3 linked regions of the Drosophila melanogaster genome follow. Changing the gene in region 2 together with the main gene of any one other region gives a genetic interaction. Each region holds a gene or a part of one and is shown on either strand. Other genes may lie near its edges.

Region 1 (9,402 bases), on a different chromosome or scaffold from region 2:
ATTGCTCCAGTGTGCGTATGTTGCGTATACGCATGGCTGTCACTCGAAGGATACGAGCTCCCCGCTCCCTGTCCATACTTTAATTTCAACCCATCCCAGAGGATAGCATTTTTCTCATGCTTCGGCAATGAGGCAAACACGAGGGCGTACACGCAGCGAAAATTTGAAGTCAATTGGAGTGGTTTGACCTACAAATAACGTGTGAAATACTATTGAAACCCAAAGGTTTTTAGAGCTACACTTACGTGGAATGCGAAGTAATTTCAATTTTCATTGGTTTGCAGTTAGAAGTCTAACTTGGTCTGAGTATTTTCTCGATGTGTATTAACGGGATGCTGTCGCTGGCGCTTCGCTTGGTCGGCTGCTCCAGCTGCTCCAGTCGCATTTCGCATCTGAAAGCGCCCGCAAGTAGGTTACACATTTTTTCGTCGAGCAAAACAAACAGCGCACCTCTGCCCGCCGTCCAGCTCATCCGATCCCGATCCCATTGGCCACAGACGAACTGAGTAAGTGGAACTAACTAACAAAATCCAGCACCGAAATCGGTTGGCCACGGATGACACCGCTTTGGTCGCGGTGCCTGGGATTAGGTGGGCTATTCTCGCAGGGGGGGTGGCATTCGTTGGGGGTGTGTCATTGGGGCAACACAAAGAATAGTGAAAGTGCAGTGGGAGCGAGCGAGAGGCAAGAGGTCGAGAGTTGAAAGGACAGGCAGAGAGTTGCGACTAATTGAGTTATAGGAAAAGAGTACCCACATGTATGTACCTAGACTTTTGCAAACGAAAATTAAAATTAAAAAAATTAATAGTGCTTAAATGTACGGTTGTAATGTAATGCGTACTTACCATTCGAATTTAGTTTATATTTTAAATCATCGAGATCTATTAGTAATAATATTATTAATAAGCTCCTCCCATAGATCTTCTTTACCATCCGCAGACAATTCGGCGATTGCAGCGGCTGTGACACCATGGAGTACAAGATGATTGCACCGGAGCACAGTGAACAGGTGATGGAGCATCTGCGGCGCAACTTCTTTGCCGACGAGCCGCTAAACAAGGCCGCCGGCTTGTGCCAGAACGGCAGCAGTTGCCCCGCCCTGGAGGCGCACTGTGCCGAGGCCATACAGCACCGGATGAGCGTGATGGCTGTGGACGCAAAGGAGAAGGATACCTTGAAAATAGTCGGCGTCGTCCTCAATGGCATCCTGAAGCCGGGCGACACGGCCAAGGCGCTGAGCAAGCTGGACTGCAACGACGATGCAGATTTCCGCAAGATTTTCGACTTGCTGCACAGGCACAATCTCAAGCACAATCTCTTCGAGCACTTCGACGTGGACTGCATGTTCGATGTGCGCATCCTATCGGTGGACTCGTGCTACCGTGGCCAGGGGATTGCGAATGAGCTGGTCAAGCGGTCCGTGGCGGTGGCCAAAAAGAATGGCTTTCGCCTGCTGAAGGCCGATGCCACCGGCATCTTCTCGCAGAAGATCTTTCGTTCCCATGGCTTTGAGGTCTTCTCGGAGCAACCCTACAGCAAGTATACGGATGAGAATGGCAAGGTGATCTTGCCCGTGGAGGCGCCCCACATCAAATTGCAGCAGCTCTACAAGGCGATCTGCGCGGATGACCAGGATGAGAAGAAGCAGTCGCTTTAAGGAGTCACCCGGCTGGCTCACATTTGGAACAATAATCTCATTTATTTTCTACATATACATACATTGCATAATCGTTATTGGAATGTTTTCGTACTACAAATATGGAAATTAGTTGGGGGGCGTTTAACGGAAAGTTAAAGCTAGGGAACAATTACTATTGTTCTGTGTTTAAACATAACTATGAAATAACATTGGATTTTCGGACTTTCCGTCGACGGTTTTTGGAGCGTCAATGGAACGCCTCTATAATGTACGAGTAGACGCTGCCTGGCACGTTTACATAAATATAATTTTGTAATTGTTTTTTTTTGTATGGGGACCAACTGCTAACAATACCTAAATAAAGTACACTGTTGTGCCAAAGTTAACCAGACAGCTTTTTCTCTTACCTCCCACTCGAAGTCCCCCCCTACAAGGTCTCCTCCTAAAGTCCTAATATCACAAGCGCAGATTCCAATCATCCGTTCTCATCACCTGGCAACCTGGCGACGGCAGGTACTTCTGTTCATCTGTTCATCAATTCATCTGTTCATTTGTTCATCTGTTCCGCTGGTTTATCCATCTACTACTCCCTAGTTTCCTTCTTCTCGTATATGAAAATGATGTCCTCGTCCGTGCCGTAGGCGCGTCGGGCCGTGTCCATGGACTCGATGAGGCAGCGACAAATGTCTGTGGAACGCAGCCAAAAACGAAAATCAATGAATTTTCAAGGATTGCTACCAAATGGAATACTCACGGCCATCGTGGACCTCGGGATTGTGGTAGAAGAGCTTCTGGGCGGCCATGTCATATCCGCAGAGCACCACATAGTGTCCGGCATACCTTTTGGGTCCATGGAGGCGTGTATTTTGAGCAATGCAGGGTATATGAAAACAGCTTTTCATTCGAGTGTGGATTTAAGGTGGTTTTTTGTGAATCGCCGGTGGCAAGAGGAACTCACCCGAACTTCTCTAGGACATTGCGCTTGCACACCTCGCACGTGAGCAGCGAGGCGTTGGTCAGCAGGATGACGGGTCCGTGGCGGGCCAAATGCCGCAGAATGACCTCCATGTCCACGGTGCGCTGTTCAACGCGCAGTCCATGGGCCCGGGCGTCCTTGAACTTGCGCGTCACGCGCCGTTCGTCCTTGTCGATGATCTTGGAGTAGTACGTGTGCTGCGCGTAGTTGGGATCGATCCCGAGCGTTTGGGTGAAGTACTCGTGGCGCACCTGGCCAAGAAGAGAGTGTCAAAGAAGTGAGCGAATGCAAATGTGCATCACGGCATGCCCACCTGGTAGCGCATCAGCAGATAGCACAGGTCGATGGTCCAGGTGCTCGAGCCAAATCCCTCCTCGCCGCACACGGCATCAAAGTTCCCAAGAAGCTGTTCCCTTTGCTGCGCCGACAGGATCATAATGATGCAGGACAGACCGCAGTCCCAGTTGTAGCGCTGCTGGTAGTGCGTCAGGTTGTAGTGCTTGCTCGGCGGCAGTCCGTTCATTCTGGCCAGCAGCTGGGCTCTTCTTGGCTTCTTGTGCTCCTCGGGTCCTCGAGTCCTTGGCTCCGTGTGCTTCGCGTGCTCCTGTGCCCGCGGCTGCGCTCCTTTGATCCTGGCGTCCAATTGGAAACTGAACTGGGAATGTTTTGGTCTAACAGCTTGGGCCAGTGTGGCCAGGTGCAGCTGTCTGCGGAATGCCAACTGTCGGCTATGTCCAGTTGAAAAAAATGCCAATTGAATTTTTTTAGATATATATTGTAAATATTGTAATTAAATAATATTTATACATAAATTGTGAGTCGCCAAAGGAGTTAGATGTATTTTCCTACAAATCTTGGTTGCTGCTAGGAAATTTTTGGTTTGAAATCTTAAAGGCGCAAAAAATGTTCTAACACTATGTAAATCCTTCTTAAGCCCTTCAAAATTGACAGTTCAGTTAGAATTACCTGCAATTTTAAGACTAAATAACTACTGGCAATTGGTATAAATTTAAATGCAACTGTACGCGAAACTTCAAACATGTATGAAACGATCTGGCAACGTCGAGCTAACTGCATGCAATTTGGCATCGATGTGCCCGATGCACTCCCCCTGATAGTTTCAGCGGGAAACTAAGAGTCCCATTCTAGAATCATCCCCCAAGGACGAAAACATCCCAAATCTCCCTAAAAAAAAAAACAAAAAGCAAGGAATCGAGTAAACACGTTCCACCACCGCTGTGGCAATCCGTGGCTGGTGCGCAACGGCCACACTGACGCGCTGACCAATTTTTAGTTATTAGTGTGACCTTAAGCATTATTATTTTCACGTGTGGCACGCAAACGAGCCAAAAAACCAAGCGCCTATTTAAACAAACAAATCACACGCCCAGCAGAGAGAGCAGCCGGTGACCACCGGTAACGGGAGTAGCTGCAGTTAATCCGACAGGCCCAACAAATTCGCCCGCTAATTGGCGGCGTTTCTCTAGTCGGAACAACAAGAAGAAGAAGCACGTGTGCGGCGTGCCAAAGAAAAAAGGAAAATAAACAAGGAGGCCAGGCCAAGGAGCATAAGCAGAATCCGCATCCGGAGGACATGGTGCCCATCGGAGCCGTGCACGGCGGCCATCCCGGCGTAGTGCATCCGCCACAGCAACCACTGCCCACGGCGCCCAGCGGCCCAAACTCGCTGCAGCCGAACTCGGTGGGCCAGCCGGGGGCCACCACCTCCTCGAACAGCAGCGCCTCCAACAAGAGCTCGCTATCCGTCAAGCCCAACTACACGCTCAAGTTCACGCTGGCCGGGCACACCAAGGCGGTGTCGGCGGTCAAGTTCAGTCCGAATGGCGAGTGGCTGGCCAGCTCCTGTAAGTACATACATCCCTATCCACGAATATCTGGGGGGGAATTTTATGGTACTGAACTGCTATTGGACTGAACAGGCAGCTTTGGCAGCTCAGTTAATGGGAATTGGGATGAAATAAGATCTCGGAAAAGAGAAGAAGCATTTATAGAATACATATTGTACATTCCATACATACAGCACATGCCTATTAAACTTCCACTTCTAACCCTCAGCCGCTGATAAACTAATCAAAATCTGGGGAGCATACGATGGCAAGTTCGAGAAGACCATTTCGGGCCACAAGCTGGGCATCAGCGATGTGGCCTGGAGCTCAGACTCGCGACTCCTCGTGAGCGGCAGTGATGACAAGACGCTCAAGGTCTGGGAGCTGAGCACCGGGAAGAGCTTGAAAACTCTGAAGGGCCACAGCAACTATGTGTTCTGCTGCAACTTTAATCCGCAGTCCAATCTGATCGTCTCCGGCAGCTTCGACGAGAGCGTTCGCATATGGGATGTGCGCACCGGCAAGTGTCTGAAGACTCTACCCGCCCATTCCGATCCCGTTTCGGCGGTACATTTCAATCGCGACGGATCGCTGATCGTGAGCAGCAGCTACGACGGCCTCTGTCGCATATGGGACACGGCCAGTGGACAGTGCTTGAAAACCCTGATCGACGACGACAATCCGCCCGTCAGCTTTGTAAAGTTCTCGCCCAATGGCAAGTACATTTTGGCCGCCACGCTGGATAATACGCTCAAGTTGTGGGACTACTCGAAGGGCAAGTGCCTGAAGACGTATACGGGTCACAAGAATGAGAAGTACTGCATATTCGCCAACTTCTCGGTGACGGGAGGAAAGGTGAGTTCATATCTTATGCACATTTAGGCTTTAACTCACAAGCGTCCATTGTAGTGGATCGTGAGTGGCAGCGAGGACAACATGGTCTACATTTGGAATCTGCAGAGCAAGGAGGTGGTGCAAAAGCTGCAGGGACACACCGATACCGTTCTGTGCACCGCCTGCCATCCCACGGAGAACATCATTGCTTCCGCGGCGCTCGAGAACGACAAGACCATCAAGCTGTGGAAGTCGGATACATAGAGTGGCTGGTATCCAGCTGGAGGACGTTCGATCGGAACACACACATACATTTCTTGGATAATATTATTTTAAAGCGAACAGCCTAATCGTAATTGTAACACCCCCACACCCCCCCACCACGAGCCCCCTTTTTTTTTTGTACGCATAATTTAAAAAAGAAAAGGAACTCTAAAATTCTACGTTTAAATCACACTTTAAACCTCACATTCTACGGCAAAACGGAAAAATTACAAACAAACAAACAAAAACAAAAAAAAAAAACAACAAAAAGTGAAAACAAAAAAAACGATTAATGTATAAATATTTATTAGCCTATTGTATTGGCCCACCATGCAAGCGAGAATATTCCCCCAAAATTGTTTGTAACCTTTGACACAGCCACGCAAACCAACATAACTTATAATGATCTTTCGGTGACGAGAAAACTAAATTTAAGCGTAAAAGATACAACAGGTGCTCGGGGCAGAATCCCAGCGCCAGAAAGAATATATATAAAATACGAAATGTAAATTTTGAATAAAAGAAAACACCGTCTCGGCGGCGCCCAAGTGTCCTTTCAACTTGCGCGCTTTTCGAGGCGAGACACTTAAATGTACAAATTGCATTTTATTCACATAATAAGAGAAGTTTTAATTCTAAAAAAACATACAGTTTAGCAAAATTACGAAACAAACGAACCTTCATTACGGTTTAAAAGCGATAATAAGTACGTTTAATATATTACGGTTTTTAAATGAATGAACACAGGTATAATACTTAACGTAGACGTTTTCTTTAAGTTATTTATTTTTAAACTCTAGCGCCTATTGGAGTGCGACCCTGCGTTGAGTTCGGTTGAAGAGGGCCACACTGCCCGTTCAGTTTGAACGTTTGCCACTGGATTTCGACAACGGCGCGCGACGGTCACTTGGCGAAACGAAAATCGAAAAAACCGACGAATCGAAACTCGGAGATCACGGATTCGATTCACTTGATTCAGAACCTTGCCGAATCCGAATGCCCCTGCGATGCGCGCGCCAACCCGCTGAACAAAAGTCGCCAAGTGAATTTTGCAATTAATTTGCAAATCAATATCGCTCCGCCGCCGTCGCGCACACACACACACACGCAAGCACCCGCACCGCGCACACATACACACACACACACACACATAGGGACCGCGACACGCATAGTGAGAAAGAAGTGGCAATATAAGCAAAAAAAAGAAAAAAAATACAACGGTCGTGGGAAAATCGATTTTCCTTTTAAACAAATCGCTGTTAGCTTGAGCTTTTCCAAGCGCCTCTGCTGCAATTCCTTCGTTTTTTTTTCCTGTGCAAAGTACGCCGAGAGAGCGGCGTGAACCGGTGCAGAGAGAGAGAGATTAAGTGAGAAGGGGTGAGAGAGTGGAAGAAGGTGTTCATTGGCAGAAAATTAGCAAGGCGACAAACGTTTATAAATATAAACACATATATTCCAATATAAAAATCGCAAATATTAATGACGAGACAAGAGCGCCTGCAACAACAGCAACAACTGCAACAACAGCAGCCCAGCAACCAGGGATTCTAATTCGAAAATAACCCAAACAAATCCAAATCGGCGGGAGCGACAAGGAGGAGAGGAGAGTGCTAAAGAGAGGCGCCAACAAAAGTGTATCATTTAGGAGCGGCACACCCAAGAACGCGGAAAACTCCCGCCCACCCTCGCCACGCCCCTCGCCGACCAGCACACCCATTACCAATACCAATAACAGCAATAATAACAACAACAACAATAACAACAACAGTCTGCAGTGAAGAAACGCAGAGGAAAAGACAGGCGGAGACAGATATAAAACCCAAACATTCGGACACTCGCTCTTCTTCTTCCCAATCCGTTTTGGCATGGAAAACATGGTGAGCAAAGAAAAGCAAGTTGTTAACTTTTCAGGGGCGTAAATCGACAGGGGTTAAGCGCTAATATTCATCGAGCTAAATGTCCGCTTGACGAACTAGTTTAATGAGCTTAACTACCCAATTATTAAACCCATTTAACTGCGCCCTTGGCTAGCCACCCCCCTCACTTTCGACGCCCTTGGACCGCCTATTAGCACATTTCGGTTAACAGCAGTTGTTGTCGCCGTGTGTGTACATATGTGCACAGTGGCGGGCAAGAAAGTAGGTCCTAAGTACAGAGATTTCCAATAATTGCGAGCAGTGTCTTAACTACTGTCCTTACCCGCCCATGTCCTTATTACTTAAGATGAGCAGCATTACCAAATCAGACATTGACAGTACTTTAGTCTTAGACTTTGCATCACAGCCGTGTCTGTTTGGCGCACTGCTCGCGTGTTTTTGTGTAATTTCGCTCCCATGTGGCAATGTGACCTGTTAACTTGGAAAGTTACCCGGTGGATCTCGTGACTCTCGTCTACATCCAATATTCATAGCCAGCGGCGAATGTCCTTGAGCAAGGGGTTGGCCCCCATTTTAACCCCCCGATGGGCGCAGCAGGGCGTGCGCCTAACCCTTATGCCGCCGCTCCCTCGATGACGTACAGTCAACACGGCGATTGAAAGAACGCAGGATGTTTATGATGCTTATGATGCTTATGATGTGCATATGTGCATAACATAAATATATATTCCCAACGAATCCATTGACTACTCAGCGATGCAAACAAAGTTAGCAACGTATTTAGGGCGCAAGAACGGTTTCCGTTGAACGGAAACGTTGACTTTAGCAAACAATTGGGATTGTATTTCGGTTTCAAATAAACATACATAAAGTAGGTTTCCAAGATTCTTAGGCCCTAAGCTAGGTGATACTTTTAGTAAACGTTGATAAACACGAATGAGGAGCAACGACCATATAATGTCCTCCTAAGACAACGCCAACAGCAACTTGATCCGCTGCACTTTCTGTCGAGCTGCTGCAGATAAGGAGAAATGTAGGCTTTAGCTGGTAAACAAACTGGAAAACAGTAGAATGTGGCACACCTTTGTGGCGCGCTTACTTTGCCGACGAAGGAACTTTCCGTTTAGCTCTGGCTACTATATTTGCCATTGTGTTTACTCGGCGGACTGCTCTGTGCAATCCAGTTGTCCATTTGCCCTAATCGAAGGGGATGGGCCAACCGTTTGCATGGCCCCTTTTGTAACTGCCGGCCACATTTTACTTGTGGCCACCATAAGCGAGTGGCTGATTGCGTGCTCTGCTCGCGCTTATCTACGCACGGACACAGACGCATGTTTGTCGCTGTTTGCTCAGTCCATTGCGATAAGCGATTTGGTTCTCTGCTTTTGGTCTCTGGTCTCTTTTGTTTCTTTTGTGCCAGCCGTCGATTTGTGGCCAAAAGGCTGGTGCCTGCGCTGCTTAGTGGGCTGGTGACATAGCATGTGTGGTGCTCGGTCCATGTCCTTGTTGCTATTTTGCCTCACCTCCTGACCTGGCCATGATGTCATGTCGATGGTAGCACGTGCCTGACCCACTGCTAATGTGCGCTCCTAGTTTTCGACATGCAATTATCGTATCCGTCCATCTGCTCCGGTTCTAGCGACGCCAATGAACTAGGCATACAACGAATTGCCATCTGATATGAAGTCCATTTGCATGATGTCTCCAGCTCTGTCCAGACCCATGATGATGTCATACTGACCGACCCACCTGAATATGTGCCCTTGGCTTGGCATTGTCCTCTTGTATACTCCAAATCCACTATCTACACGATGGTATATTCAGTGCATCCACATACATATATGCGTGCCTGCGTCTTTTTCGGAATCCCCATTTGCCTGGCCCATGACGAAATTTCGGCAGAAGTAACACATTCGGAACGACTGTCCTACGGAAACCGAGTGCAAATGCTCCGGAATTAGTCAC
Region 2 (12,086 bases):
TTGGCCAGGTACTGCAGGAGGGGTGTAGACTTGACCTTCTCTTCTGTTCGCCGTTCGAAGTTGAAGTCGATCTTGACGTCGCCCATGCGACTCGCCTCCTCGCGCTCTTGGGCCAGCCGCTTGATGAACTCCTGGTAGTGGGGTTCGCTCTCGATGGTGTTCACCTTGCTGTCGTCGTTCCTGGCCTTGTTCTTAAGGAAGCACTGGAAGGGAGCATACTCCACGATGGCCATGTACTCGACGCCCTTGTGGTCGACGAAGACGTAGCCGTCGAAGCGATCCCGGAACTGCACCACCTCGCCTATGTCCTTGGAGGACATATCGATGTAGGCGCGACAGGTGGCCTCCTGGCCCAGCGACCAGTCTGCCTTGCAGTAGTAATACGAGTCGTTCTCCGGCAAAGGACCCACCTGATCCAGGAACTGCGCCTCCGTCATGGTCGGCGGCAAATGCCGCATCACAATCTGCAATGAATGCATTAGTTTCGGAGGATCGTGGGATTAAGACAGTCTGGACGGTACCTTAACGATCTGATTGGTCTTGTCCTTCTTGTCCTTGCGCCTGCTTGCCTTGGACTTCTCCTTGGGCTTTTCCTCGGCAAAAGTTTCAGCCATTTTCTGTTCCTTTTTATTTACAAAAATCAAAACAAAGCCGAAAAGCCAACAAATGCAAACATGATGTGGAACCGATAGAGATGGCACTTTCGGCTCGAACTAGAAGAAATTCTAAAGTTCACAAGTGGAACCTATATCCAATTATTCTAGTAAAAAAAAATAGATTCTATCAAAGAAGTTAGTCACTTAGTTAGTTAGCCAAATATTAGGAAAGTAGAACTTGAAATATCTGTGCCATTTCTGGCAATTACGACAAGGCTCTGGTATCTAGATCTTTGGAACTAGTTCTTTAAATCCACATTGCAAGAGCGCTTTTTTTGACCGGTACGCAGATATCATGCTCAACTTTTAAACAGTTTCGACTGTTTTGGCACATTAAATGCTCGAATTGAATGAATAAAAGGAAACTTGGTCAAGGTAATGAGTAAATGGACATTCTAGAGAGCTTGACACATGATGCAGTAACATCGTTTTCAGGAATCTGAGCATTGCAAAATGATGGCGCCGGTAGATCCACCAGTGGGATCCTTTCTGAAGTGCTTCGTCTGCGTCTCCGATGAGGGCAGGACTTGGACAGAATTGATACAAGGTTTCACCAAGGAATCGGACAAGGTGGAAAAGAACCTTGCTCACCTGCAAACGCTTCTGGAGAAAGCACATGTGAAGCCCAGCGTGATATGCAGAGGCTGCAATATGCAGCGATACTGCAGCCTGTCCCATCTCGTGGCGGATCGTCAAGAACACAAGCCACTCTGCGAGGTGCTGAGGGATCTGCAGAAGTCCATGAAGATCGATCACCCGTTGAAGCTGCTCGGCCAAATCACCGATCGCAGGAAGCTTCAGCTCGTCATTTCGCAGCTAAAGATGGTCCTGCTGGCCAAGTTGGGCAGACCACTGAATCAGCGGGAGCATCAGCTAATCGGCAACCCAGCCGTGTGCGATGTGTGCTTCAGCACTGAAGCTCTCGAGGACTGTGAAGGATGTGCCGGAGTGGCCTTCTGCTCCGCGGCACACCAACGCCTAGTCAGGGGCTATCACACCCCGGAGGATTGCCAGACCCTGGCTCTGATTGCCACTCCGTTTCGTCAGTTGAACTGTCTAGTGAATATCAAGGACTTCTACCGCAGTTGCCCACTAAAAGAGTCTAATCTAATCAAGGCTTTCACCGAAGCCACCGACATACGGATCAGCGACACTCCTTGGACCGATCTGGAATCGTACCAGCTATTCGCTACCTGTTCCTCCTTCAGCGGCATCGCAAGTCTGTGCCTGGCCCTGTCGCACATTTCCTGGGTCCCAGATCCGAATAAAGCTGTCATAGTCTACGTGGCCGGCGCCACCGAGGACACTTTGCGCTACTTCGAGGACATGCACCTGCGTTTTCTGTTCCTGCAGTACCCAAGCATTCGTAATCTGGAATTACACTTCATTGGAAGAACCGTTGGGCGCATCGACCAAGTGGATATCAAATTCAGCGACAGGAGCTTTGAACAAACCGTGGTGAAATGCTTTTACCCCCTGTCATTTTCACAATATTCCTGTATTCTAAATGTGGATCCCACCTTGATTCTCATCATGCAACCCGATTTCTTCGGAGTCGGTAAAGTAACCCAGAGAATTTCTAGGTATATGAAAAGGAAGGTTCCACTCGAAAACGAATGGAAGCCTTGCTTGTCAAGTGTTATTCGATCTTTTGGTGTTCCCATTTGCTACACTTCGATTTCAAGGGCTCAGGCAATTTCCGATTTCGCGGCCATCACATTGTCCGCTGAGAAGAGCAAGATTGCCATCGAGAGAGCCTACAATATAATGGGCAATCCCTATCGTGAAATATTGCCACTGCACAATCCAGCACCAGAAGATACCGAGAGGATTGTGTATGCCAATAACTACCTCGAGGTTATTTTCACAAGCAAAAAAAAATGCCAATGACTACCAAAGACTATATAAGGCTTAGTTTAGTACACATAATACCTTCGACAATACTGACATTTGTTATTAAACAGCTGCTCGTCAAATACATATTCTAAGTTACCTGATTACTGCCACAAGTATCAAGTTAGATGCATTAAAACTACCCAAGACTGTAGAATAACTACAATTAGTTGATAATATCGAGAACAGTATTCAGTTTCGAACGCGGCTTTGAATGTCGCCCTTTAATTTAAACATGTTTGTTTATCCATTTACATTTTTGGTAATTCTTTAAGAATAAATTGTTTAACTAGTTGATAGCCTACATTTGTAATAAGTATAAATGCTCAGTTTCTCAATGCAGCCACTTAACTCTACGAGGAAAACGGTTACAATAACTTCAGAAGGGTTCTTTTTAGGATGTGGAAGCTTTGATCTAGAATGTCTTCTTGGAAATGACAACAATTAAATCGATTAACCAATAGAACGACTGGTGGAGATCACCCTCGCACAAGTACGGCGCCTTGGTCCATGCCTCCACGCGGTAGCCACAGTTCTCCAGCAGCTCCATAAACCTGGCCGCCTCCTCCTCGAACGACGCCTGTCGCCCGTTGTTCTCCAGCAGCGGGCGCAGCGGCAGATGCGAGGTATTCGTCTCCACGTAGTGCATGTAGGGAAGTACTAAGGCCACAACTGCTCGACCATTGGGAGCTAGTGCCAGGTGAATGTCCTCGAGCAGCTTGAATGAATCGAAGCAGCGGTCCAATACGTTGAGGCACAGAATCAATTCCAGGTTCTGCAGACCGTCTATCTCGGTGATTACGTTGAAGTTCAGCTTCTTCAGCCGATCGCGCATGGTCCAACTGGCCTCGGTGGCGAAGACCCGCAGCCCGGCACTTCCGCTCAGCTCGGAAACGGTGTTGGCCACGCGCAGCGAAATCTCACCGTCCCCGGCTCCGATATCCAGCAACGTGACCTACGATATGATGGCAGATGAGTAGTGGTCAAGACTAAAGGCTTTTACTCATCTTACAGGTTCTTGACCGCTGGCAGGCTGAAAGCCGCCTGCTACTAGCAGCTTGCGAAACTGTTCCTCGGACAGTATGAACATGGAGCCGCGCTTCAGGAACCCGTTGATGTCCGTCTGGGTCATGAAGAACTGCAGGATTGAGCGAGCCAGGGCGTGCCACAAGTGGGTCCAGATGTTTGCCGAAAGCGCCTTGGTGCGCTCCAGCCAGCTCACGGTGGTGGCATCCGGCTCGAGCGGCACGAACTTGGACTGGAATCTCGGCGGCAGCTCGTGGTTCAGGCAGTACCACTGAAATGCATCCAGAATTTAGGAAAAATCATATTGTTTCGGGATTTCGAGTTACCTTCCGAGTGTCTATGTCCTCCAGAGAGTTGTCGTTGTGGAATTTGGCGTGGATTACCCTGGCCAGGGTGCCGCGGGGACGATACACAGCCATGCTAACAGAATAGTCTATAATTGTGCTTTTATTTACATTTTCTACTTCTGTGTGTTTAACTTAGTTGTGCCATCATTTTTCCAGTTTGAAGAACTGGAGTACGGTATTTTTCCAGGGCTGGATTGCAGAGTTGCACTTTGATCAGCTGAATGCGATTGGTAAAGGTATATCGATATGTAGGCGTGACAGCCTAATGTAAGTGTATTATTATTTATAATGTATAATTTCAGAAATTAATTAATTAATTTGTAGCCGCATAAAAAAAATTAAAATATGATGTTATATTTGATTTGCCATTTAAAAGTATAAATACTTTGTAATATAAGGAAGACTTTTATATTTATATCTAATAATTGTACTACTCGCTCTGCAAACGAACGCACATCGTTCTCGACAACATTGACGCCTGTTCGATAACATTGGGGCGCGATGCACGTTGACATTTTATTTAGCTGTCGAGTAATGTATACAAAATAAGCGGCGGCTATTTTTTGTTATTTTAATGAAACGCATCAATCCGCGATGAGCACGAACGTTGTTGTGAGCATGGAGGAGAAGGCGGTGGCCGACGACCTGCCGTACTTCCCGGAGAAGTTTCCGGGCAAGGTGTGCTGTTTATGCAATCTCGGCGAGAAGAGTGCCTTGGGCCAGGGCGAGATTCTACAACTGAAGGCGCCCGCGCCCGCCGAGATCAAGGATAAATATCCGACGGATCGGCTGAGGGAGGACGGATCCAGGCTGTTATACGGGCCTAAGCAGGCCGCTTCTAGTTCGGGCGATTGTCACTACGAGCTGGACAAGATTGGACAGCCGGACGTCGTGCATCCCGCCGAATTTCTTGACGAGGGGTTCGTCTACGTGCACCGCATGTGCATCATGTGGTCGCTGCGCAAAAGTCAGATAAGCGATGCAGATGGCGCGTACTTTGCCACCCACTTCGCGGAGTTCCTGGAGCAAAAGTGCAACTTTTGTGGACGCTACGGGGCCTCCATCAACTGCAAGATGAACTGCCGCCAGGTGCACCATTGGCCGTGTGCCGCCGCTGCTGGGTGCCTTCTGATCCTCGAGAGCTTTACGGTCTTCTGCACGGAACATTTGAGCCAGGTGCCTGTGATATGTAAGTGATTCTTGGGCAGCAAACTCTCACAGAAACTAATGGAAACAAATGACTTACAGGCAGCGACAATAATGTGGAGTGTCTGTCCTGCTCCTCGCTGGGGGATCTGTCCAAGCTGATCATGTGTAGTACCTGCGGAGACCACTTTCATTCGACCTGCATTGGTCTGGCCAATTTGCCGGGTAACTACTGTCAAGTACCATCGTACCATTGGTTTACATGTTTACATGTTTAATGCTTCCATAGATACGCGTTCTGGGTGGAACTGCGCCCGTTGCACAAAATGCCAGATTTGCAGGCAGCAAGACTCGAACGACACCAAGTACGTTAAGTGTGAGCAATGCCAGAAGACTTACCACGCCTCCTGCTTGCGACCAGTTATCTCAGCCATCCCCAAATATGGCTGGAAGTGCAATGTAAGCAGATATTGACGGATATTAAGTGTTATCCAATACTTATGGTATTTATGTTCCTTCTAGCGCTGTCGCGTCTGTACGGATTGTGGTTCAAGAACTCCTGGCGGCGGCAGCTCCTCCCGCTGGCATAGCCACTACACAATCTGCGATTCGTGCTATCAGCAGCGGAACAAGGGCTTTTCCTGCCCGATTTGCCAGAAAGCGTACAGGGCAGCATCGCACAAGGAAATGGTCAAGTGCAGCTGGTGCAACAAGTACGTTTCACTCGCTTCTGCCTGATTAGTCTTGCTTATTATATGGATTCGTTTCAGATTTGTGCACAGTACGTGTGACGAAGAGGCGGATTTAACGGCCTACCACAAGAAGAAGGAGCAAAACCCAGATTACGACTACGTGTGTCCGAATTGCAAGAGTAATTCGTCGGGCCCGGGATCATCCCAACAGACAATCGACTCGATCGTGCTGTCCGCCATGGATTCGTCGTCGGAGCAACTGAGCCTCAAGGAAATCGAACTTGACCCGCTGGAGGGCAAACCCACAATGGATCCATCGAGCGATGAGCTCCACAAGCTACCCACCGGCAAGAAAAAAGTGTGCCTTACGAGTGTTCGCGGTAGAAGCGGAAAGTTCGTCCTACACCGCATGGGTGTGATGTCGCAGATCAACAAGAAACGCAGCACCCGAGGCAAGGGGCGCCAGCTTGCGCTGCCCACCATCTCGAGCGATCGCTGCCTGAGTCGCAGCATGGAAACAGATCTGACCAGCGACAAAAAGCTGCTGCTCTGCTCGGCGCGGGATAAGTTTATCCAAGCGCAAGACATCTGCGTAATGTGCGGCTCGCTGGGCATTGAGAGCGATTCCGTGATGATCACCTGCGCACAGTGCGGCCAATGCTATCATCCGTACTGCGCCGGCGTGAAGCCTTCGCGAGGCATCCTGCAGAAGGGTTGGCGATGCCTGGACTGCACAGTGTGCGAGGGATGTGGCAAGAAGAACGACGAGGCGCGCCTGCTCCTGTGCGACGAGTGCGACATTTCGTATCACATTTACTGTGTGAATCCTCCGCTGGAAACCGTGCCCACGGGCAACTGGAAGTGCTCGTTCTGTACACTGTGCCAGAAATGCGGTCGCAATCCCACCGAGAAGAGCGAGTTCGGGGACTCCAACATGCTCGAGTGCCCATCCTGCACCAGCCAATCCTCGTGTCCCGTCTGCAAAGTCTCGTACAGCAACGGCGAGATGATCATCCAGTGCGAGCACTGCGAGCTATGGGCGCACTTCCACTGCGACTCTGTCAATGCCCAGCTGACCATTGACCACTACGACAACAATGTGTACAAGTGTTTCAAGTGCCGCTGCTCGACGAGGAGCACTAACTCCCTGGCGGATGCCAAGTTTGGTAACGAGGATTCGCTGGCCATAACTCCCCAGGGCAGCAAACCATTTGTGCACATCACAGCCTCCTCCGGGCCGTCTTTCGATTCTAAGAGTGGTGCCGAGCGAAATCATCCTACCTTATCCGGCGATATGCCCGAGTCTGCTCCAGAAGCGCTCCACTGGATTGACGGAGTGTGCCTGAGCGAAAGCGGATTGGGCATGATCAAGTCATTGTCCACGGAGATCAAACGCAAGCGCAAAATGCGACAAGCCCTCGGCAATGGCAAGGATGGACAATTGGAGGCCGCCGCCGAGGAAGCGCTGGAAAAGTACAAAGACGGCATGGTCTGGGATGGGACGGAGAACGCTATTCCCGAGGGTTTCACCATCTCCATTAACGACGAGGGAGTGAACATATTACGCAAGAAGCGACAGCGCAATCTGCAGAAGCTGGGCATTGGTGGATTCTCCGTTCGCAACCGAGGTCTCAAGAAGGACAGCGAGGAGACGACGGCCGTTGACCAAATAAATTCCCTTATGACCATGGACAAAAAGAAGAAAATCATACGAAAGAAGCAGAAGAACAAGCTGATTGAAGCCTATCCCGTGTACTTGCAAGAGGCCTTCTTCGGAAAACCTCTGCTGGAAGGTGGAGAGCTTGTCATGGCCGATACAGATTCCTCTGACGAAATTGATGCGTCCATGAAGGTTTACTTCACGCGGCCCGAGGGCAAGAGTCCTGCCAACCAGGACACACTGGCGGTGAACAAGAGTCCAGCGAAGACCGTGAAGAAAGTTAAAGCTGAGTTGAAAACTGAGAACAAAACTGTTTTCATTCAGCAAATGCCCATGGGAATCCAGAACAAAAACGGAACGACGCCAGTGTCTAATGTTTTTGGTAAATGTTTAACCAACCCACTGACCACTTTATTCCCAGGTTGTATCGTTTACCATTTTTGCAGATCCCTTGCAAGCGGAGATTTCGAACACTGTCTTTGCTAACCGGCATCCTTTGGATGCGTTGGCTTCACCAAATGTTCCGGAACTGGACATGGCTAACTCTGTTAGTACGGTTCCATCAGCTGAAGTCATTGAAAAACCAATGCGGTGAGCCTCATGTCCATATGCCAGTCTATTCTAAGCTTATTAATTTGTTCTTTTTTCTTTCTCAAAGGGAATCACCTGCGGTCCTGGTCGACAGTTTCATGGTCCCCAACCAGTTGCCACAGGAACAGAAGTTTCACAATCAGCTATATTTGGGCGGAAATACTTTGGTTAATCCCGCCCAGCAGCTTCAGTTCCGTCAGCAGGCACCACAAAATGCCAATAAGCAGAATATGCAAACTATAATGAGCCAAGTCGTTTTGCAAACCGAAAAGAGACCAGAGGAGGAGCAGAAGGTTGTGGAGCCCGTGACGGAAACCCTGAACGCTGGCACTCAAAAGACGGCGGAGAAAATGCGCAAGGATGAGGGTATGAGGGTGCATTTAAATAGTGTAGGATTCAAATGCTCATCACCCCATTTGTTTTGCAGATCTTGGGCTCATGGCCACCATTTCGGCCGTGCTGTATGCCAATACTGAGCATCCCAACCTGAAGGAGTTGTTTCCGATTTGGAACGACCGCTGCAAGCAGATTCTGAAGAGGTGGCGCTCGCTGTGCAACGAGAAGAAGGCGCCGTTCTTGCAGAAGGCCAAGGACAATCGCTCAGCACTGCGGCAGAGGCGGGAACAGAACAAAATACCTATGCCACCGAAACCACAGAAGCAGGAGGAAATGGGAAGAGTGTGGAAACAACCGCCCAAGCTGAAGGAAGACCAGCCGAACATGTTTGTCACGTACAGTAAGTGCTGCAGCTCAAGACTTGTTTTAGTTGCTCTAACCCTTGTTTTTTCGTCTAGATGGAAACGCCTACGATATGGGCAACTATGTTGGTGGCTCGGCGCAGGCAGCGTCCAATAATCCCAATCCGCATCACGTGATGCCGAACGTTAACGATAATCTGGTGATTAAGGCCACGATGCAAAGGACTCAGGTGCACACGACAGCAGCCAGCACCTTGAAAATGACCACCGTGGACAATAGGCTGGAGTTGAACACGGCGGTGTACGGCACGGAACCCATTGGCGACAAGAAGCTCAGGAACCTGCTGCAGAAGAACAGCACGGAGCCGATGCTCATGGGGGCCAACTCGGACTTGTTCTTGGGCAACGATGTAATGCGGCTGGGAATGATGCAGAACACACCCATTACGCAGAACAATCCCATGCTGAGCATAAGTGGAAAATCTCAGCCATCTGAAGGCAGGTCCTTGGAGCAGGATGTGAAGTTGGGCGAGCCGCAGGAGGCAACCTCTTCCGCCGTGGAGTTGGAGAATGTCGGATTCAGCGACCTTCTGGGAGGACTCGGCGAGGGCGACGACGACGACCTACTCAAGTCGCTCACTTCCGAAATGGGAGACGACTTCAATATCCTGGAGTACGCGGACCCAGAACTGGACGTCAATGTTCTCAACTCCCTAGATTTTGATGACAATGAAAAGTGCTCTACATAGGAGAAGCGGAATCGTTTAAATTGAAATAAAGAAAATGCAATATTTAATAGAAAGCGCCACTTTTGAATGCAGCCTCTTTTGGCGCCAAACCCCATTCTTCATCGATTGCCGTATACCATATCGAATTTGTATCTCTTCGGCACAGAAAACTGGTTTTCTACGCGGTTTGCACTGTTGTTACTTTTTATTTTCAGCTAACCATCCAGATGACCAGATAATGCAGTTGTTCAGTAGTTTCCACTCAATCCTAATTGTTTGCTGTGTTCTCTTAATTGATGGAACGCACTCGAAACTGAATCTTAAATATGCCATTTTGAGGCAAAAGCAAGCAGCAAAGGCAACGCAAAATGACACTTTGGGTATGGATGTGGGAGAAAGTTTCTGCTGGACGAGCGTATCATGTCGATGTTTTTGTTTATGAAGCCCACCAGCAGAGAATCAAATATGATGCCCAGAAGACCATGAAGGTGATGTTCTACAAGAACAACACCAAAACCATGGAGACTTCGGCCTACGACGATGCCTACGATCTCAGTGGCTCGGGTTGCTCGCCCACGGACAAGTTTGCCATAGTTCTGCATGGATGGATCCAAAGTTGTTCGGACGAGTGGGCGCTGTCGCTTATTGAAAGTGAGCATTTTTTGCATTTTTTTCAATGCCAAAGTTGAAAGCTACTCGAAATATGCATTTTAGGACTCAGTTACTACCGCGGCGGATGCGTGATATGCATAGACTACAGTGTGGTCGCCAGTTCCTCGTACATGCGGTGGGTAGTAGTAGTAGTCTGACCCCAAATTCTCATTATCCGACTTTTAAAGGCTGTACACAAACTTTGACACCCTCACCGGCGCCATATCGTCCATTATCCTAACACTGTTCAGGCAGGGATTCGATCCAAAACGAGGCTATATGTTTGGCTTCAGCTTCGGCGGACAACTGGCTTCGGCGGTGGGAAGATCCCTACGGCCACACCACATTATCGAGAGCATAGACAGTCGGTATCTTGAGCGTTATCTTAGCCACACCCAGTAATTATTGTATTGAACTGCAGCGTGCGATATGGCCGGACCCGGGTTCGATCCCATTGCAGTCGACCACTCCAAGGCCGGCAAGCATGTGCAGTGCTTCCACTCGAGCCGCGACAAGGGCACCTTCGTCTACTCCTGCCACCGCAACATAATGCTCGGCAGCTGCGGCCTCAAGCAGCCCTCGGTGGCCAGTCAGCTTCACCTGGGCAGCCATGGTCTCTGCGTCGACATATACATCAACACGTTCGACTATCCCTTCTACGCCGTGAACTACACACCGCCGGAGTGCTTCACCTGGCAAAAGACGGCCAAGATACCAGATGGCTACACGGTGGGCTACGAGGAGAACTTCGACAGCCAGGTCACGGGGCAGATCTTCGTGCCCACTAGCCTGCACTACCCCTACAACTTGTCCAAGAAACAGCTAAAGCTGCTGACCAAAGGCGGTGCTTGACTGAGTATTGGGAGAAAACACTTGGTTCAAGAATAGCAACCTCAGGAGGCTTATGTTTTTTAAATCAAAGTCAACCATATTCTAATATCATGTAGGTTTATTCGAGTTCAGCTCATATCGTTTGTAATTGTTGTTTTTATTTTTATTCACCAAAAATATATTTCAAATCAAATTTGAATTATGTATATACATTACACATGTGTAATCCAGCCACATCAACCTACTGATTCGGGCAGTCGTTGGGCGACTGCTTCTTGATACCGGCTGATTTGGGGCCCTTTGGTGGCGGTGCATCGTCGTCGTCGTACTCATCCTCCTCGTTCTCGTCATACTCCTCTTCGTCCTCATCGTCCTCATCGTCGACGATGTCGCCAGTGTAGTAAAGCACTGCTTTTGGAATAATTCTGGCGCGCAAGAAGTGACCAATTTCGAAGTCGGTGGCCAGGATCTGCGAGGAAGCGAACACGGATGAGCAAGTGGCCTTGCGGAAACTGTTGTTGGGTGAGCTTACCTGCTGGGAGTCGTCGTCGACTTCCTCCTGGTCGCTCGGGACCTCTGGTGGGCTGAAGAAATTGAAGAAGGAATCCGTCGGAACCTGCTTCACAATGGTGCGCACTGCGCCGCGCTCCTTGTGCTTCTGCTTCTTGCGGATGGTCTTCACAGTAAGGTTCATCTTCTTCTCCCAGTTAATGGTGCACCCCTGTAATTGGTTTTGTTTCGATTAGAAATCCCTTGTTGCCCTCGAGAGTGCAGATAGCTCACCGTGCACTTGTAGATCTCTGGGCCTTCAAATGCGAACGGATCGTTGGGATCCACGGTGGACTTCAAAACGTACTGCTTTGTGAGAACTGAGTTGGAGAAGTACTCGTTCTTGTCGAAGTGAAACTCCAAGGTGTACGAATGCTAATGAATAAAGAAGCGGTTTAGACGGGCAGGACTACTAGAACTATTGGCCAGCAAACTCACCCCGTTGTCGTACTTGATGGAAATATCGATTAGCTTGCGGATGGCGGGCTCGTCGTGCGGCTGCACCATCTCAGACATTATGGCCGTGTTGCGGAACACCGTCAGCCAGAAGCCGGGAATGCCCTTGGCATCCTTGGGAATACTTTTCAAACTGCTCAGGGCCTCGCGGAAGTGCTCGGC
Region 3 (8,164 bases), on a different chromosome or scaffold from region 2:
TGTTTTCCGCGCTCGTTCCGTTTCGTATCGTATCGTATCGGTTAAAAATAGTATGTTTTGAAAAAGTTTTATTTTCGGCGTCAACGTCAACGCAGCGAAGGGAAGTGGGCGGGCCGGGGGCGGAGAAGGACGGTACGGGATTGGTACATATTTGAAATAATTTTGAGAAATAGCGCGAATTCGGATCGGAAATCGGAACTGATCCGGTAAATATAGATCGATATACTCTCGGTTCGTTCCTTTTATTGTGTCTAGTTTTTTATTGGTAGCACTTTGACTCTCCACATAGATCATATATACGCACATATTGTTCGGATATATATATATAAAGATATATGTGGTTTGGCATATATAACCATCGCACGCACACACACACACACCTCACACACATGCACAGTTTTCGTTACTTATATTTTGCTTTGCTCGTTTTTTTTAATATTTCGTTTTTATATTTATTTTTCAAACAAGTACAAAAAAATAACCCAAAAAAAAAAGAAAATAGAGTATAACGAAAGCAAGTGAGTCGGTTAGCCAGATATATATATATGTACACATATATATATCTATATCTACTCGTGTGTGTGTAGTCGAACCAAACAAAAACAAAAACAACAAAACAATCTGTGTGGACAGCAATTGGAGCAATATCTACGTGTGTCGCTTGCGAAGAGAAAGACCCGCTCGCGTTGATAGCCAACTCAAAACTGATGTCGCGCCAGCCAGCTGCTAACTCTGAATACCGTCGCAGTCGTCGTCGCAGTCGCAGTCACCGCCGCTGCCGTCGGCGCACCAACACACACCACACCAACCCCCCCATCCGACCCACCTGCCCCACATCGCCCACCGCACCACAGCAGCCGTCGCAGAGGAAGAAGAAAAGTCTGCCGTGCAGCGGGAGCATCGGATCGAATCGGATCAGTTTGGATCGCTTGCCATAGCCGAAGACCCCAACATCCGAGCATCCGAGCATCCAAGCATCCAAGCATCCGAGCATCCAAGCATCCGAACATGCGAACATCCGAGTCACGAAGAGTGGAGCGGCAAGAGTGCCGGAGTGGGAGTGGGTGGCAGAAGAAAGTATGAATTCGGCCAGCATAAGCGTACGATTCGTGGGACCCTTTAGTTGAACGATGAAGTGCGGGCATGCTGCTTTCGTGGACTTTCACTCGTCTCGTTTAGAAATCAACACAATTCCGATACATTCTGATTATGATGAATATACGTATATGTACGAATGTCCTGAACATGAGTTTGTTGAACGATCAGGTAATTAGGACCTGGGTATGAGCCAAATAGTCTGGCCATTGGACTGTCTTCTAAAAGCAATGGGTATCGCCAGTTCCGAACTCCTTCTTTCTGCTTTTTGCTCATTTGCAGCTGCGGTGCTGCCTGCTCCCCTTGCTTTTGCTGCGGCTGTGACGAAGAGAGCTCTCGGACGGACGCCCATTAGTGAAATTGGTAGGAAAATGCAGTTGCAGGCGACACGAAGTAACGCAAAGAAAGTAAGAGAGCTCAAAAGGGGCACCCTGTATGGCGTATGCTGTGCGCGATATGCGAAGACGACAACAACTTGTTGGCCCCTACGTCAGCGCGTCTGACGCCCCACCTCCTTGGTTTTCTCCTCGTCTGTCAGCGAGTCTCCGCGGTTCAGACAGCATCCACCCATAGTCCCCTCGTGGGTCTTTGGCAAACGCCCCCGCATAACTACGAAAATAGCAAATTGTTAATTTCGCTTCGAAAACTCTTTTCCAATACACACACGAAATCGCAAATCGTCGAAGGAAATGGTGGTGGGTATTTGGAGGAGGAGGGGAGGGGACACATGATTTTATTGGCATGCTTTCATGGTTTTTCCGTGCGAAACATTTCATTTTTCATTCCACATTTTTTAACACGCTGCTACATAGGACTATTTGTGTGGGCTTCTTCTTGTCGGTGGAGAGAGATGAAATTTATGAAATTTATTAAATATGCTCGCCACACACAAAATCAAGGATAGCTATTAGCTAAACCAATAAAAACCACCCACAATAAGTGTGGACACACTGCCGTCTCTCTCTAACATTCTACCCCTCTCTTTCACTCTGTGTGGGAGCTTTCAAAAGCTCTAGATCATTTGTGTGAATGGAGAATCTGAGAATACGTTCATGTTAAATAGCCAGGATCTCCGACGGCTAAGTATTGTATCCGTCGACTTGTCCCAATTTACAGATATTCCTTTGGGGCGAGATATACAGATAAGATACAACGATATAGAAAGAGATAGAGCCTCAATTTGGCTATTTATAGAACATAATGTGCGTCGTCAGCGGCGAGTTTTGTTCTTTTTTCAAAAACAATATCTATTCTTAGTCGCTGCTTGTGCGTTAATACCATATTTTTGTAAATACATACTAACATACATTCCCGCTGAGACATAAATTTTATAAAAATTGACCAAATGCCATCTGAGAGGCCGCAACATCAAGGTGAGGAGTGGGGACCATCAGGCGATGGTCCACAAACCAAAAATCAATGCCTAGGGGACGCGAACAAGGCGTACAGTGCGGTTCGAAAGCGAAAAGCGATCCTTTCATAATCACAATAGAAGGGATTTCTAGTTGGTTAACATTTTACACATTATAAGTACAAGATCGTGAAATCGTTGGGATCATCTTTTGAATGAAATGAATTAAATTTAGACTGGCTATTTTCGAAGAGTTTCCGCAGTGAACTTTATTTATTACCTCCACCTAATTATATCACAGATATATTAAAAAAAAAAAGAAAGCCACCCAAGGGGCCGGCAGAATAACTAATTTAACTAGTAATACAAAACTTGTTAGGCGGAACAGAACATAGTATGATTTATAATAATAAAACTGAAATATTGAAACATCCGCGCAAATAGGCATGGATGTATATACATTTCCGCCTTCGAGAAAGTCACTCGATTTCTTCTTACAGTCCTGAAACGCACCGCTTATATACGCAAATAAAGCCATATATTTGTGTGGACAATGGGATTAATCGCAGATCCGCAGATAAAACGACCATATATCTTGTTATGCAGTTTATATTTTTTATACATAGATATATTTTGTTGGTTTTCGTCGGTGATTTTTGTATCTCGCATCTAATTGATAACGTTTTGGGTAAATTTATGTTAAAAAGTAATTACAATTGATTTAGAACGGGGCCAGCACCGCAGATATGCGCCTGCTGACATATATATTTATGCTGAATTTGTATGTTTACATACGTCTGTAGATCATAACTATGCATTAATTTTAACCGTTATTTTAATATCTTTACTCGTTTAGCTTTAGTTTAACTTTTACTTTTACTTTGCTTGTGTGCATTTTCTCGTTCGTGTTTTGTGTTCTTTTCAAGTTTTGGATTTTGTTTGTTTTTCGTTTACTGGGACATAAACGTCGAGGAGGCTAATCTTCATCTTAAGGAAAACATTTTCTATATCAATAATAATAATAATATTAGGTAATAAAAAAAAAATAAACAATTACATACACATTTTGCGTAATATTAGGGGGCTTTTGTAGGGTATAAGGGATAGAGAGGAGAAATGCAAACAAACGCAATCACAATGAAACATTTTTCGGATGGAGAACGGGGGAGACTTTAGAGTCGGGACCCTACTCCAGTTTCATCGCCAGGCCGGGTGGCGGCGGCGCCTCCAGCTGCTCGAGAAAGAGCTCCTCCAGCGGCCGGTCGCTGGTAATGCGGAAGAGGAACAGGTGATCCTGGCACTTCAGGCTGATCGATCGCAAAGCGGGCAGACGCAGCAGCAGTTGCGCAAAGCGTCCATCGTCGCCCGGATGTTCCAGGCGGCAGTGCTCGTCCAGGCAAGCGTACACCTTCTCGCGGCACATCTCGATCTCCGCCCGGCTCTTGATCCCGCGTATGTCCGGGTTGTACAGTATGATGGCCTTCAAGCAGGACAGCTCGCGTCGGTCGAGATTCAGCCGCTTCATCTTTACACTCAGCTCCGACAATATGCGGTCGAAGATGGCTGACACACCGGCTTTGATCGCACTGTTGCGATGGTACGAGAAGCTCTGGTTGAGGAACAGCTGCTGGGGCTGAAGGCCCGGTGATCGTCGCTCAAAGGAGCCATCGTGGCCTAGTCCACCGCCCCCGCCGCCGGCACCGCCGTCATCCAGCGAAACGATGCTGCACCAGGCCACGTTCGCAATGAGCAGCTCGATCCAAGCGGCTTTCAGCAGAATCACCTGGTCGTCCAGCGGCACCTGGGCAAAGTGCGGCATCATGCGCGCGTATTCGACCATCTGGAAGAGCTGTTTGTTGACCACTTGGCACAGGGCCGACACGGCACCCTTGTAGTCCGGCTGGACTGTGGAATAGGGACCAACGCGCAGGAACGTCAGTGCACGATCGCCGCATTGGGTCTCCGCTCGCTGCTCGGCCTCTATGATGCGCTCGATCGAGAAATCCCTGGACACGCTATTGGTCATGAAGTCATCAGAACCGTTGCCGCTGCCCATTCCGCCAGAAACGCCGCCTCCTCCTCCTCCGCCTTGAGAGCTGGATCCGCCTACCGAACCTGGACCGCTACTGCCGCCTCCGCTGGCGCTGAGCCTACCCGCCGCATTGCGGGCGCCGCGTTGACGCTCCTCCTGGACCGCTTCGCGCTTCATGCCGCAGGTTAGGCACTTCTGGTAGCGGCAGTACTGGCAGCGGTTCCTCTGCCGCTTGTCTATGATGCAGTTGCGGTTCTCCCTGCAAGCGTATGTGAGATCCTTGCGCACTGTGCGTTTAAAGAAGCCCTTGCAGCCCTCACAGCTGTACACGCCGTAGTGCTTGCCACTGGCCCGATCCCCGCAAATAGAGCAGAGGTGCTTGCTGCCGCTCAGCGGATGGTTAGGCGGATACTGCTGCTGGACTGCAGCGGCGGCAGAGCCTCCAGCCGAATTGGGCGCCTGCGCCATTTGGGCATCTCCAGCGCTGTTGTTGTTGGAGCTGGCGGAGTTGGAGCCGGGCAGCACGTGGACCATGGACATGGCCTGCATGAAGGGCACGGGACTCTCGGCCTTGGGCGAAAAGCTGCTGTTGTTGCTGTCGTTCAGCTGCGAGATGTCCGGCTTGACCTCCTCCTTGATGTGGCTCAGCCGAAAGCTGGCGTCCTGGTCGCAGTTGTCCATCCTGGGCTTGTGATGTGGTGCTGGGTATATTGGAGGAACTGGGGGCAGCGCCTCCTCCGCCTACCGGTTTCTTCTTGCTCGTTCTCTTCGTGTGTATGTGGTGTGTCTTGGCTCGCTTTCGCCTCTCTGTTGGGGTTTCACTTTGCCAACGCCACCGTGTCCGTCCGTCCGCTATTGGTCCGTTGGGCCAAGTGGAGCAGGTTGCAGTTTCGTTGTTGGTGGGGTCGTTGCTGCATTTACATAATCTTGAGCCGATGGAGCAGCGCACTTTATTCGCTCGCCTCCAAACAATTGCGCTTTTTACCAACAAACAAAGAATGCCAGACTTTCTGACTAATGAATAAATACCTTTTTTCGCGTCGACATTTTTTCTCAACAAAGACAATCTCACCACAGCGACGCAACTCACCAACGTAGGGATGGACTGTGACACAGGTTGCGTCGTCACGAGTCACAGTCACGACTGTTAAACACTGTATAAAATTAACAACGGCGATGGTATTACCTTAAGTCATATGGTATATAACGCATCTATAAAATTACATACTCCTCTTTTTAATTAATGCACGACATAAGTACATATATCGGTCTCCCAATTGAAGCACGGATTCGTGACTGGGCGCAATCGCATCTCTAATTCACCACAAAGTGGACAGGGCTGTTTTCCCACTCACAGAAACAGTTTTAAGTGGGCGTTAATGACCCAATTAAAGCGCTAATGCCCATCGCACCTGCCGCAAAAATAAGTGTTTTTACTTTGATAACCAATGCGCAATCAATCAATTAATTAATTTAGTCGAAAACCAGAAAACGGGAGTAGCGACAGCCCTGGCGGCGCCATTGCAAAACTCACCGCACCTACGGCGCATGCAACCCTGAGTCAGTCTGGCTCCCCTCCTCACCGCCTTGCAAACCACACAGTGCACAAATAATTTAGCGCCGCTGCAATTATGCAGAATAGAAATGCAAAATGGAGACGTGAATGTGCGCCAATTTCACCGCTGCCGGCGGCAACCTCGGCCTCAAATCGCAAACGCCGTCGCCGAGAATCGAGCGGTTAGGCTGCTGAACCGTGAATCCCAAGACCAAACGGAACCAGAATTGGGCGAAATGCAAATGGAAGTGCAACTTACTTGCAGCCAGTGGCTTTTGATGCGCCGCAAGGTGACGGTTGTTTATTTACTTTTTTCCTTGGCTATCAGTTATCAGTGCTCGCGAGCACACACACACACAGGCACGTCACTGACACGACAACACCACACGACGCTGATTTAATTTGTTGCAATCTCTATTGTAATTGTAGTAATTGAGTCCATCCCATCATCACAAAGAGACGCGACGCGGTAATTGGCATTCGCAAGAAGAAGCATTTCGCGAAACAACAGCTGACAGCGTGGTGAGAAAGCGATTGCGGGGGGCGAAGAACTGGTTTGTCTGTGGTGAGTATACTGTCGCGGTGAGTTGCCTTGGTTCGGTAAAAAACAATGGCACATTATAGGCTGTTTCCACTTCGCTTAATGGTCAGAAAATCTGAAAATTAATCCGTCATGGATATTTATGTATTTTATATATTTATGCGATAGTTAGACCGCAGTAAATTTCTAAAAAATGAATTTCCGCGATGACCAAGAAGCAGGGATTCAGTAATTCAAGAGCACCCTAACATCTGCCTTAAAATTCGATACCGGTTTAGAACAAAAATGGGAGATTCAAAATTTATATAGAAAAAAATTTGCTTAACACTATCAAATTAAGAAGCTTATTTTAAAACAGTTTAAGGGAATGGAAATAGAGTTTTCACATCAAAATTGACATTCAGGACATATATTCTTAATATTTATTTGATTATTGGTATACAAAAAATACACTAATATGTGATATTTTCTATCAGTTTAATTTTCTGATATCGCAATTTGGGGCCTCAGCCCTAAACAATTTATTTCTATTTGGGTCTATTATCTTGTCAAACCCTTTAGTTGCTAACCCTGTACCTACCGCTTCCTTTATAATGAAATGTATCGAGTTCTTTTGTTTAGCTCAGCCTTATTACGTTTTGCCTGTCGGTTTCGCAAATATTCGGTTTTGATTGGTTTTCAGGCGAATAGTACGATAAGCAAATGCGACTCGTTTGTTTGTTTACGGCTTTTAATCAACATCCGAATCCGAACATTCATGTAGTTTGCTGAGTTCAGCATTGAGGACAGTAAGGGCTCCGATCCGCTGGTTAAGATATTCGATCTCTTCTCGGTACACGCCCGTCTCGTAAAGTAGATTCTCGTACTCCCTCATAATTCCAATATAATCGTCACTGCTGCTGTTGTCGTTACTGTTGTTGTTGTTGCTGCTGCAGCTGCTGCTGCTGCTGCTGTGACCTTGGCTCCGATTATGGCCGCCCCAACTGCCACCCTGAGCCGATGCACTTTCCGGAAACTCCTCAAAGTCCAGATAAAGCTGAAAGTAGGCGGCATCCTGGCTGCGGCAGATAGGGCAAGTCCTTGATCTGCAAAGCAGACGGAATCCGCGTATAAGACAAAACGTTTGAGCTCGGCGATAAGATTTGGGGCACTGCCACTGATTTAAATCACTTTTGTATCATTTTCATTTCTGATTGGTGCATAAATTAGAATATTATATCAGTGGCACATTTCATTTTCGTTATAGCTCTCAAGTCCTTAGGATCACTTTTACTTACTGCTTTCTCCAGTGGTCTAGGCAGTCCTCGTGGAACGCGTGTCCGCAGCTGCCGGCTTGTATATTGTCCGAGGTGCGAAACCGCTCCGAGCAGATCGTGCAGATGACGTTGTTACGGCCCATTCCGCTCCGGTTGACTTATACCTAGGTCGATTCGATTCGCTCCGATCCAATCAGGTTCGATCTCCCTGTGCCGTATTGTTGCTCGGCCGGTGACAGGGGACTGAATGAATGCAAGTCGCTGAATCGAGCGTTTTGCTGATAAGCGTCCAGGCAGCCACAGTACACTCCACTCGGTCCTCCTCTTGTCGTCA

The links.
Region 1: of Lpt (region 2) and wds, changing one suppresses a phenotype caused by changing the other (phenotypic suppression), as found in Drosophila melanogaster (one study listed by BioGRID).
Region 3: of Lpt (region 2) and usp, changing one suppresses a phenotype caused by changing the other (phenotypic suppression), as found in Drosophila melanogaster (one study listed by BioGRID).

Annotation. Positions count from the first base shown.
Region 1 is NC_004354.4:2,582,070-2,591,471, forward strand, and holds wds (will die slowly), read left to right. Parts: upstream 1-3,910; 5' UTR 3,911-4,209; coding exon 4,210-4,480; intron 4,481-4,691; coding exon 4,692-5,317; intron 5,318-5,371; coding exon 5,372-5,560; 3' UTR 5,561-6,148; downstream 6,149-9,402. Other genes in the region: AANATL7 (arylalkylamine N-acetyltransferase-like 7), read left to right, coding at 971-1,657; CG13760 (uncharacterized protein), read right to left, coding at 2,223-2,326, 2,394-2,533, 2,598-2,866, 2,929-3,138.
Region 2 is NT_033778.4:23,894,154-23,906,239, forward strand, and holds Lpt (lost PHDs of trr), read left to right. Parts: upstream 1-4,407; 5' UTR 4,408-4,516; coding exon 4,517-5,111; intron 5,112-5,170; coding exon 5,171-5,293; intron 5,294-5,357; coding exon 5,358-5,527; intron 5,528-5,590; coding exon 5,591-5,781; intron 5,782-5,838; coding exon 5,839-7,802; intron 7,803-7,866; coding exon 7,867-8,011; intron 8,012-8,078; coding exon 8,079-8,377; intron 8,378-8,438; coding exon 8,439-8,747; intron 8,748-8,805; coding exon 8,806-9,458; 3' UTR 9,459-9,508; downstream 9,509-12,086. Other genes in the region: Upf3, read right to left, coding at 1-464, 522-614; CG17658 (uncharacterized protein), read left to right, coding at 1,110-2,546; CG5339 (uncharacterized protein), read right to left, coding at 2,965-3,504, 3,562-3,846, 3,902-3,994; CG13562 (uncharacterized protein), read left to right, coding at 9,676-9,817, 9,882-10,088, 10,152-10,224, 10,277-10,452, 10,510-10,940; Nap1 (nucleosome assembly protein 1), read right to left, coding at 11,161-11,388, 11,452-11,640, 11,703-11,843, 11,907-12,086.
Region 3 is NC_004354.4:2,035,755-2,043,918, forward strand, and holds usp (ultraspiracle), read right to left. Parts: upstream 6,558-8,164; 5' UTR 6,293-6,557; exon of another isoform or gene 6,114-6,292; intron 5,891-6,113; 5' UTR 5,707-5,890; intron 5,633-5,706; 5' UTR 5,160-5,632; coding exon 3,633-5,159; 3' UTR 3,044-3,632; downstream 1-3,043. Other genes in the region: CG4325 (uncharacterized protein), read right to left, coding at 7,305-7,659, 7,852-7,973. UniProt on the Drosophila melanogaster protein: Receptor for ecdysone. May be an important modulator of insect metamorphosis. Plays an important part in embryonic and post-embryonic development. Binds to ecdysone response elements (ECRES) such as in the promoter region of s15 chorion gene.